2 linked regions of the Coturnix japonica genome follow. The protein of the gene in region 1 interacts with the protein of each later gene in a pairwise test. Links are inferred from orthologs where the notes say so. Each region holds a gene or a part of one and is shown in the gene's direction. Other genes may lie near its edges. The genes, in order: DHPS and EIF5A2.

Region 1 (4,525 bases):
CACGAGGTAAGTCCAGCCCCACACATACGGGGTGGCAGCACTTGGAGGGCACAGCTCTCACCACCCCACCCCCCCACAGCAGCCCCCCAGACCCCGGTGCGATCCTACAAACCCCACAGCAGCGCAGTGTTGGCGCTGGCAGCCGATGACCGTCTCATCGTATCTGGGAGTGAAGACCGAACCCTGGTGGTCATCGACCGCCGTGCTGACGGCATCCTGCAGCGCCTGCAGGTGGGGCTGACCCCCAAGTGTGGGGCTGGGGGCTCCATCCGCCTCACATTATTCACGCCTTGGGGGCTGATAATCAATGTTTGAAGGCTGGATTTGGGGTTTGGGGTGCAGCACTGTTCCCCATCCCACTTTCTCCCCACAATGTTGCAGCACCGCTTGCCCCATAAGCCCGTGTTTTGCCCCACAGCTGCAGCATTACCTCCTCTCCATGTCATATCGGGGGACGCAACTCTGGGCTGGGGACAACCAGGGCCGGGTCCACGTCTTCGGGAACAGCGACGGCCACTTCCGAGCGGAGCGGGTATAAAGCCACATATAGGGCTGGGAGGGGGGTCTTTGGGGCCGTACCCCTCCCCTCAATGCCCCCATTGCAGCGCTTCGACGTGGGACACCGCCTGCAGATCACGGGGCTGTGGCAGAATGCAGGATCTTTGTACACCACCTCCACCGACCGCACCATGCGGGTGAGGGACCCCAACCTCACGTGGCGACCCCCCCACCCCACACTGGGATTGAGGGGTTGGGTTGTGTGAGGCTGGCGAGGTGCCTCCCCCCCAATTCCCATAATATCTTAATGGGGGGAGGAAGAAATGGCGTCTCTCTGTTACAGATCCACGTCCCCACGGACCCCCCCCGCACCATCTGCTCCTGGACGCACGATGATGTTCTCAATGGGGTAAGGGCTGGGGTCACATTTTCCCTCCTGGACGCCCCGTTGTTCCCACCCTCTCCTGATCTCCACCATTTCCCCCAGATCAGCGTCGAGGGCGACGTGGTGGCAGCTGCCTCCGGGGGGCTCTCGGTGGAGGTCTGGAAGTTTGGAGGCTGAATGTGGCTGTGACCCCCCCCAGGAATGGGGGCTTTGCCCCTCAACCCTCCTCCCCCCTTCCCATGGCCAGAGATGGGGACCCCCTGGGGGGCAGAGGGGTCCCAATGGACTCAGAGGGGCCCGTTGTGCAGGAATTAAAGGGATTTGGCTGGAGGTGTGTGGCTGTGGTGTGTCTTTGTGGGGCAGAGTGGGGTCAGGATGTGGGGGGGTTTGGGGTCAGGATGTGGGGGGGTTTGGGGTCAGGATGGGGGGGTTTGGGGTCAGGATGGGGGGGTTTGGGGTCAGGGTTTGGAATTGTGGGGGTTAGGAGTGGGCCTAGATTCGGGGATTGGGATTTAGAGGCAGATTACGGCGGGATTTGGGGTTTAAGAGGTTCAGGGTTTGGGTTTTCGACAGAGCTCTCCACCGTTTGACGCTTCGCTTTCTGGCGCCTTTTGACCCACTGCGGCCACCGTTTCCTCTTCAAGATGGCGGCGCTCCGACGTACTGCGCCTCCACCGCGCAGGCGCAGGGGGGCGGCCCAAGATGGCGGCGCCCATGGGGCCCACGGAGCTCAGCGGCCCCGCGGAGGAGCCGCCGTCGGGGGAAGCCCCGGCCGCCGCCCTGCACGCGGTGCTGAAGCGCAGCGCCCCGCTCCCCGCTCAGACGCTCCCGGTTCGCGGATACGACTTCGCGGACGGCCCCGACCCGGGCGCGGTGCTGCGCTCGTTTCTCACCACCGGGTTCCAGGCCACGAACTTCGCGCGCGCCGTCGCCGAGATCCGCCGCATGGTGCGGGGGGGCGGCACCGGCACCCCCCCCCCTTACCGGATCCGTCCCCCCCTTACCGGTTCCATTATCCCCCCTTACCGGTTCCATTACCACCCCCTTACCGGTTCCGTTTCCCCCCGCCTTTACCGGATCCATTATCTCCCCCCTTACCGGTTCCGTTTCCCCCTTACGGTTCCATTATCCCCTACCCGGATTCCATTATCTCCCCCCTTACCGTCCATTATCGGCCCCTTACCGGTTCCATATCACCCCCCCTTACGCTGGATCCATTACCTCCTTACCTGATCCATTATCCCCCCTTACGGTTCGCATTTCCCGCGCCCTTATCGGGTCTATTATCTCCCGTAATACGTTCCATTACCCCCCTTACCGTTCCCATAGTCCCCCTCTTCACCGGTTCCGTTTTCCCGCCCCCTTAACTGAATCATTATCCCTGCCTCTGTACCGGTTTCCGTTTCCCTACCCCCTACCGGATCGCATTAATCCCCCCTCTTACCGGTTCCGTTTTCCCCCCCTTACCGGAATTTTTCCCCAAAATTTTTTTACCCCCCCTTACCGCGGATCCATTACCCCCCCTTACCGGTTCCATTACCCCCCTTTACCGGTTCCGTTTCCCCCCCCCTTACCCGGTTCCGTCCCGTAGATCGCTGCCAAGATGGAGCCGCTGAGCGCTGCTGAGCGCAGCCGGGCTGAGCTGGGGGGCGCCGCGGGGGCGGCTTCGGGCTGCACCATCTTCCTGGGCTTCACCTCCAACCTCATCAGCTCCGGGGTGCGGGAGAGCATCCGCTTCCTCGTGCAGCACCGCATGGTACGGGGGCAACGGGGGTAACGGGGGTAACGGGGGGTAACGGGGGGTAACGGGGATACAGGGTGATATGGGGGGGGGTCCTCAGTTTGTTAGCCACCCCCCCAGTCAATTGCTGGGGTCCTGGGGGAGCTCACAGAGGGGTCCTGGGGTACAGAGATGGGGTAGAGAGTTGTGGGGGGTTCCTCACATTGTTGAGCCCCCTCCCCAACCCTCGGGGGTGGTAACGGGGTCCTGGGGCACCTTGGGGCAGTGTGTGATGGTACGGGGGGACTGCGGGGAGGCTGTGGGTGTGGTTTTGGGGGAGGGGGTTGGAGCCTGGGGGTTCCCCTCTGATGTGGGTGGGGGGTCCTGGGGTCCCTGTGGTGTCCCAGTGTCCCCAGGGGTTCTAGGGGTCCCTGACGTGTCCCCAGGGGTCTCTATGCTGCCCCCAGTGCTTTGGGGCCGCACTGGTCTCAGTACCTTGGGGGAGGGGGTCTTCAGCGCTGGCCCTGAGGGCTCCCTGAGCCCCCCCCCCACTCTTGCCCCCCTCTGGGCAGGTGGATGTGGTGGTGACAACAGCGGGCGGTGTGGAGGAGGACCTCATTAAATGCCTGGCACCCACCTACGTGGGGGACTTCAGTCTGCGGGGCCGGGAGCTGCGGCAGAACGGCATCAACCGGTGTGGGGACACCCGGGGGGAGAGGAAACCGGGGGGGGGATGTATGGGGGGGTATGAAGATGTCTGAGCACAACCCTCCCCCCAGGATTGGAAACCTGCTGGTGCCCAATGATAACTACTGCAAGTTTGAGGATTGGCTGATGCCCATCTTGGATCAGATGGTGGAGGAGCAGGAGACAGAGGTGGAGCTGGGAGGTGTGGGGGGGAACGTGGGGTCACTGGGGGGTGGATGTGGGGTCACCTGTGGGTCCCACAGGGCGTGAGGTGGACGCCATCACGGATGATCGCACGTTTGGGGAAGGAAATCAACAACCCCGAGTCAGTGTGTTACTGGGCTCAGAAGGTATGGGGGCATCTCTGCCAGCGTCTATCCTGGGGGGGGGGTCCCCACACTCCCATGGGGGTCCCCGTGCTCCCCTGTTGTCACCACATCCTCCCCCAGAACAACATCCCGGTGCTGAGCCCAGCGCTCACTGACGGCTCTTTGGGGGATATGATCTTCTTCCACTCCTACAAACACCCGGGGTTGGTGCTGGACATCGTGGAAGGTGAGTTTTTTCCCCATGGTGGGGGGGGGGATGACAGCAGGACCCCTCCTGGTGACAGCTGTACCCCCCCACAGACCTAAGGCTCATCAACACGAGGGCCATCTTTGCCCGCAAGACAGGGATGATCATCCTGGGGGGGGGACTGGTAAAACACCACATCGCCAACGCCAACCTGATGGTGAGGGGGGGGCTGTGGGGAGGGGGATTAGGGGGGCTGGCAACTGGGGACAGTGCCCTCATTGTGCTCCCTCTCCTTGCAGAGGAACGGTGCCGATTTCTCCGTCTATGTGAACACAGCTCAGGAGTTTGATGGGTCTGACTCTGGGGCGCAGCCGGATGAGGCTGTTTCGTGGGGGAAGATCCGAATGGACGCCACGCCAGTGAAGGTGAGGGCACAGGGAGGGGGTTTGGGGGGTGCTGGGGGGGACGCGAGGGTCTCCCTCTCCCTCTCCTGCAGGTCTATGCTGATGCTTCGCTGGTTTTTCCGCTGCTGGTGGCGGAGACGTTTGCACAGAGAGCAGCTGACTTCCCAGTGCCCACAGATGAGGACTGAGCTGTTTGTGTGTGTGTGTGTGTGTGAGGGGAAACATGCCCCAGGGGGGGCTGAGCCCACAGCTGGGGGGGTCAGATCCCTCACTCTGGGGAGCTGAGCCTGCCCTGGGGCGAGCAGGGCCCTGGTA
Region 2 (4,317 bases), on another chromosome or scaffold:
CATAGTCAGTGTATGGACATCCCAGAATCTCATCCTCAAGACCACTGCAAACACGGGATGAGCCCCTGGTGCTTGCACTCATTCTTGGGAGAAGCAGGGGGTGTTTGGCAGCGCTCAAGCAGTGCCTGGGGCAGTGTGATGCCTATAGCTGTCACAGCAAAGGCTCTTTTGTCTGGTTCAGGCTGCACAGAGACTGAATGCAGGAACACAGAGGGTCTGCTGAGCCCAGCATTGTCCTGTGCTGTGTTGAGTTTGCCGGTAACAAGGCTGTGTGTTTGCCCCAGGGCTGGCTGCGATATACATGGCTGAGGCTGGGCTTTAATGCAGTGCTTCAGGGCACCAGGCACTTCTTCATGATATGAATGAGTTGTGCCCGTTCTTTGCTATTTGTGACCTTCCAAAGCTCATTTCTGCCCACTGCTCATTTCTGCTGTGACTGATATGAACACTTAGAGAGATGAAGATCAATAACGCACTGAGCATACTCAGAAGAAGAGACACAGTCCAGGTGTGTGCAGTGCTCTGAGCACACGTACCAAAACAAATACATGTAAAGTGAGACCCCGATGGTTACAAACACGCCTTGAAACCAAACTGCTGGTGCTGTATGTATGTATATATGTATGTGTGTGTGTGTATGTGTGTTTGTATGTATATAGGTAGGTAGGTAGGTGTGTGTCTGTGTGTATGTATGTAAGTGTGCGTGTATGTATGTGTGTATGTATGTATGTATGTAAGTGTGTATGCATGTATGTATGTGTGTATGTCTGTATGTGTGTGTATGTATGTGTGTGCGTGTATGTATGTATGTATGTGTGTATGCATGTATGTATGTGTGTATGTATGTGTGTATGTATGTATGTGTGTGTATGTATGTATGTGTGTGTGTGTGTATGTATGTATATGTATGTATGTGTGTATGTATGTATGTGTGTGTGTATGTATGTATGTGTGTGTATGTATGTATGTATGTGTGTATGTATGTATGTATGTATGTATATGTGTATGTATGTATGCATGTATGTATATGTGTATGTATGTATGTGTGTATGTATGTGTGTATGTATGTATGTGTGTGTGTATGTATGTATGTGTGTATGTATGTATGTACGTATGTGTGTATGTATGTATGTGTGTGTATGTATGTATGTGTGTATGTATGTATGTATGTATGTATGTGTGTATGTATATATATATGCATGTGTGCTCCGTGTTCGCAGCGCCCCCTTCAGTCCTGTCGGTGCGATACACCCATGTCTCCCCCCTGCGTCCTCGCTCCTCTCCCGTCTCCATTTGTCCCACTCCGCACTCCGTACCTCCCCGCACGTGTCGGTCTCAGTGCCGCGGGGCGGTGCGGTGCGCTGTGTGCCGGCCCAATGGTCGCTCATGAACGGAGCGGAAGTTGTTGGGCGTGTTTCGGGGCGTGGTGCTCTCTCTGCCCGCCGCCCGCCGCCCCTTCCCGCCGCGCTCCGCAGTGGTCGGGCGCGTGTGCGCGGCGCCGTGTGCCCCCGCCCGCCCTCCCGGCCGCCCCGCCGCGCTCCGCAGGTAAGAGCGGCCGAACCAACGCTCCCCTTTCCCTTACCCGGCTCCCGGCCGCTCCGTGCCCGGCTCTAACGGCTCTAAGGGCCGGTTGGGCCGCGGCGCTGAGGGCCCCGAGGGCGGGCACGTGGCGGGCGGTGCGCGGCGCTCCGGTATCGGGGTGGTGGGGGGTGGGAGCCGGGAGGGGGGACACGCGCTCGGACCGACTCGGTGCGTTCAGCCCCGCAGCCGCCGCCATGGCCGACGAGTTGGACTTCACGACGGGCGACGCCGGCGCCTCGTCCACGTACCCCATGCAGTGCTCGGCGCTGCGCAAGAACGGCTTCGTGGTACTGAAGGGCCGCCCATGTAAGATCGTCGAGATGTCCACCTCCAAGACGGGAAAGCACGGCCACGCCAAGGTGAGCGGCGGCACCGCGTGTACTGCGACACCAGCGGGGCCGGGGGGTTGGGCCGGGCAGGGCCGGGGGCTTCTCATTGCATCGGATGGTCGGCGGGATCGCGGGGCGGCGGTGATAAAACGATGAGCGATGGGCTGGGTAAGTTCTGGAAGGGGCTGATGAAATCCCCAGGGCGTGGTTGCACCGCGCTGGCCGCCCCAGCCACGCTCCCCGGGCCGCGACTGGTGCTGCCCCAGCAGTTGGCTCCGCAGCTGTCCGGGCTGGGCTCCACTAAGCTCGTATGGTGAGGCGGATCTACAAACACGGGCTCGTTTGCTATCTTAAGTTTCCACAGCCTCATGTGATACGCGGGAAGTATTTAGCGTTTGGTCAAGCTGGAGGCTGCCAAGACTCTGCTGGGTGGTTTTTTTTTCTGTCCTTCTCATTGCACTTCATGGCAAATCCCTTTTTTCCCCCCCCCCCCAGTCTTACATAGTACTGCTAAATACTGAACCGGTTGTGAGAGTGAAGAGAGCTGAGTAGGGTGGGCTGTAAATTGCTAATCCATGTGCTCTGAGCAGCTGCTGCAAGCATTGGGAGGTGGGAGCTGCTCTCATCTCAGCACGTGGTCGTTTCTGTTCTCCTTGACCATCCTGTTGTTTCACACAACAGCTGGAACGTGAAATAAATGTTCTTTTAACAGTCACAAAACAGAAGTTGAGAGCATTGAGCTTTACCTTGTGTTGTAAAATGATTAGAGGTGAGGACTGTGGCCTTCACTCGTTTCCTTTAGTGGATGATCTGAAATATGGAAGGACACCTGAGGGGCCTCTCACACAGCATGCAAAGGATTTGAGGACAATCTCATCTCACATGTTAGCTTTTAAAAGACAAGAAGCCCCATATGGGACCAGCAGCGCTGATTTCAGTGCTGTTTGGCTCCTGTAGGATGAACAGGAACTGATCTTCTTTCTTTTTCTTTGTAGGTCCACCTGGTTGGTATCGATATCTTCAATGGGAAAAAATACGAAGATATTTGCCCATCAACTCATAACATGGATGTCCCAAATATAAAGAGGAATGATTACCAGGTGAGTTAATGTTATCCTCCCACATTTCCATAAATCTACAACTCCTAACACTTCAAGTAAAGTGTTTTTCACCACAAGACTGCTTGTCAGTTAATACAGTACTGCTGCCTTCAGAGTTTGGCAAACTTGTCTGTCCAGATGTGGCACTGCTGAACCAGGAGCATTTACTCAACAGTTCAAGTTGTCAAGAATTGTCTGGATAGAAATCTCCTGCTTACTGTGCCATCAACCTCACAGGGCAAATTAGGTTCTTAACTATTAGAAACACGGTACTAAAGAATTAGTGTAACAGCTGTCTGTGCCTTCTGCTCATCTTGCTGCTCGTGTTAAACATCCTAATAATGACCTTCTCTTTGCAGCTGATAGGGATTCAGGATGGGTATCTCTCCCTGCTGACAGAAAGTGGTGAAGTTCGTGAGGATCTAAAGCTGCCAGAAGGTGACCTGGGAAAAGAAATCGAAGGAAAATTCAATGCCAATGAAGATGTGCAGGTAAGAATAGAGTTAGGCAGGCAAGAAGAGAGATGTTTAATTGGCCTTGCCTGACATAAGAATACGTGTTCTCCATTATGTAGTTATTTGTTATATGAAGAAAGAGTTAAAAACCTGGGAATTGGTTCCTTGGCAATTAGGACATCTGTGTAGGGGCACACAGTGTGGCACTGAAGCCCAGCTCTGCTGACAGTGATCTGAGTCTCAGATATCAAGATAGATCCTAGCAGTGCTGTTTGCTTGGTGTAGATTGGAGCTTCCACTCTTTCTTGTGTGGAGCCTTGCGATGTAATCTGTGCTGTATAAACACCTTAAAGCTGAAAACAAATCTTGAGATGCCACAATCTTGCACCGTCGGGTGTGATCGCCTGTATCTTCTAGGAGCAATTCTGCTGTGGAGGGTTGGAATTAACCTGTGTGTCTTTTCTTTCAGATATCCGTCATAAGTGCAATGAATGAAGAATGTGCTGTAGCCATAAAGCCTTGCAAATAAAGAGGATCGCCAGGCACGGGCAACTGCTCAGGTCTGGATAAACCACAGATCTTTAAATTTGGTTCTGATTGTCACCAAAGCTCTGGCCTTCACAAGCAACCTCATTTCTTTTTTGAATTGTTACAAAGCAGTGCTGGATTCTGGATTAGTGTTGCAGGCTAACTGGCAGTTTTCAAAATCACTGAGATTTTAATTCCTTAATTGTAACTATTTTAACATTCCTGTGGGTTTCAGCTCTGGATCTAAGAAACCGTTCAGGTGTTACTAGTGGATATATTTTTTATTTGCTTGAGCAAAACAGTGTTTGTCTGTATGAACAGACA

Evidence for each region.
Region 2: the proteins of DHPS (region 1) and EIF5A2 interact in binary tests that used the Homo sapiens proteins (3 or more experiments, as listed by UniProt). The two-hybrid records come from large-scale screens. The link is inferred for Coturnix japonica from reciprocal best matches to the Homo sapiens genes DHPS and EIF5A2.

What each region holds. Positions count from the first base shown.
Region 1 is NW_015439889.1:91,788-96,312, forward strand, and holds the start of DHPS (deoxyhypusine synthase), read left to right. Parts: upstream 1-1,549; 5' UTR 1,550-1,585; coding exon 1,586-1,831; intron 1,832-2,474; coding exon 2,475-2,639; intron 2,640-3,175; coding exon 3,176-3,297; intron 3,298-3,382; coding exon 3,383-3,479; intron 3,480-3,553; coding exon 3,554-3,640; intron 3,641-3,739; coding exon 3,740-3,845; intron 3,846-3,919; coding exon 3,920-4,023; intron 4,024-4,105; coding exon 4,106-4,231; intron 4,232-4,302; coding exon 4,303-4,398; 3' UTR 4,399-4,525. UniProt on the Homo sapiens protein: Catalyzes the NAD-dependent oxidative cleavage of spermidine and the subsequent transfer of the butylamine moiety of spermidine to the epsilon-amino group of a critical lysine residue of the eIF-5A precursor protein to form the intermediate deoxyhypusine residue.
Region 2 is NC_029524.1:17,439,036-17,443,352, forward strand, and holds the start of EIF5A2 (eukaryotic translation initiation factor 5A-2), read left to right. Parts: upstream 1-1,444; 5' UTR 1,445-1,545; intron 1,546-1,759; 5' UTR 1,760-1,775; coding exon 1,776-1,940; intron 1,941-2,905; coding exon 2,906-3,010; intron 3,011-3,369; coding exon 3,370-3,501; intron 3,502-3,934; coding exon 3,935-3,994; 3' UTR 3,995-4,317. UniProt on the Homo sapiens protein: Translation factor that promotes translation elongation and termination, particularly upon ribosome stalling at specific amino acid sequence contexts.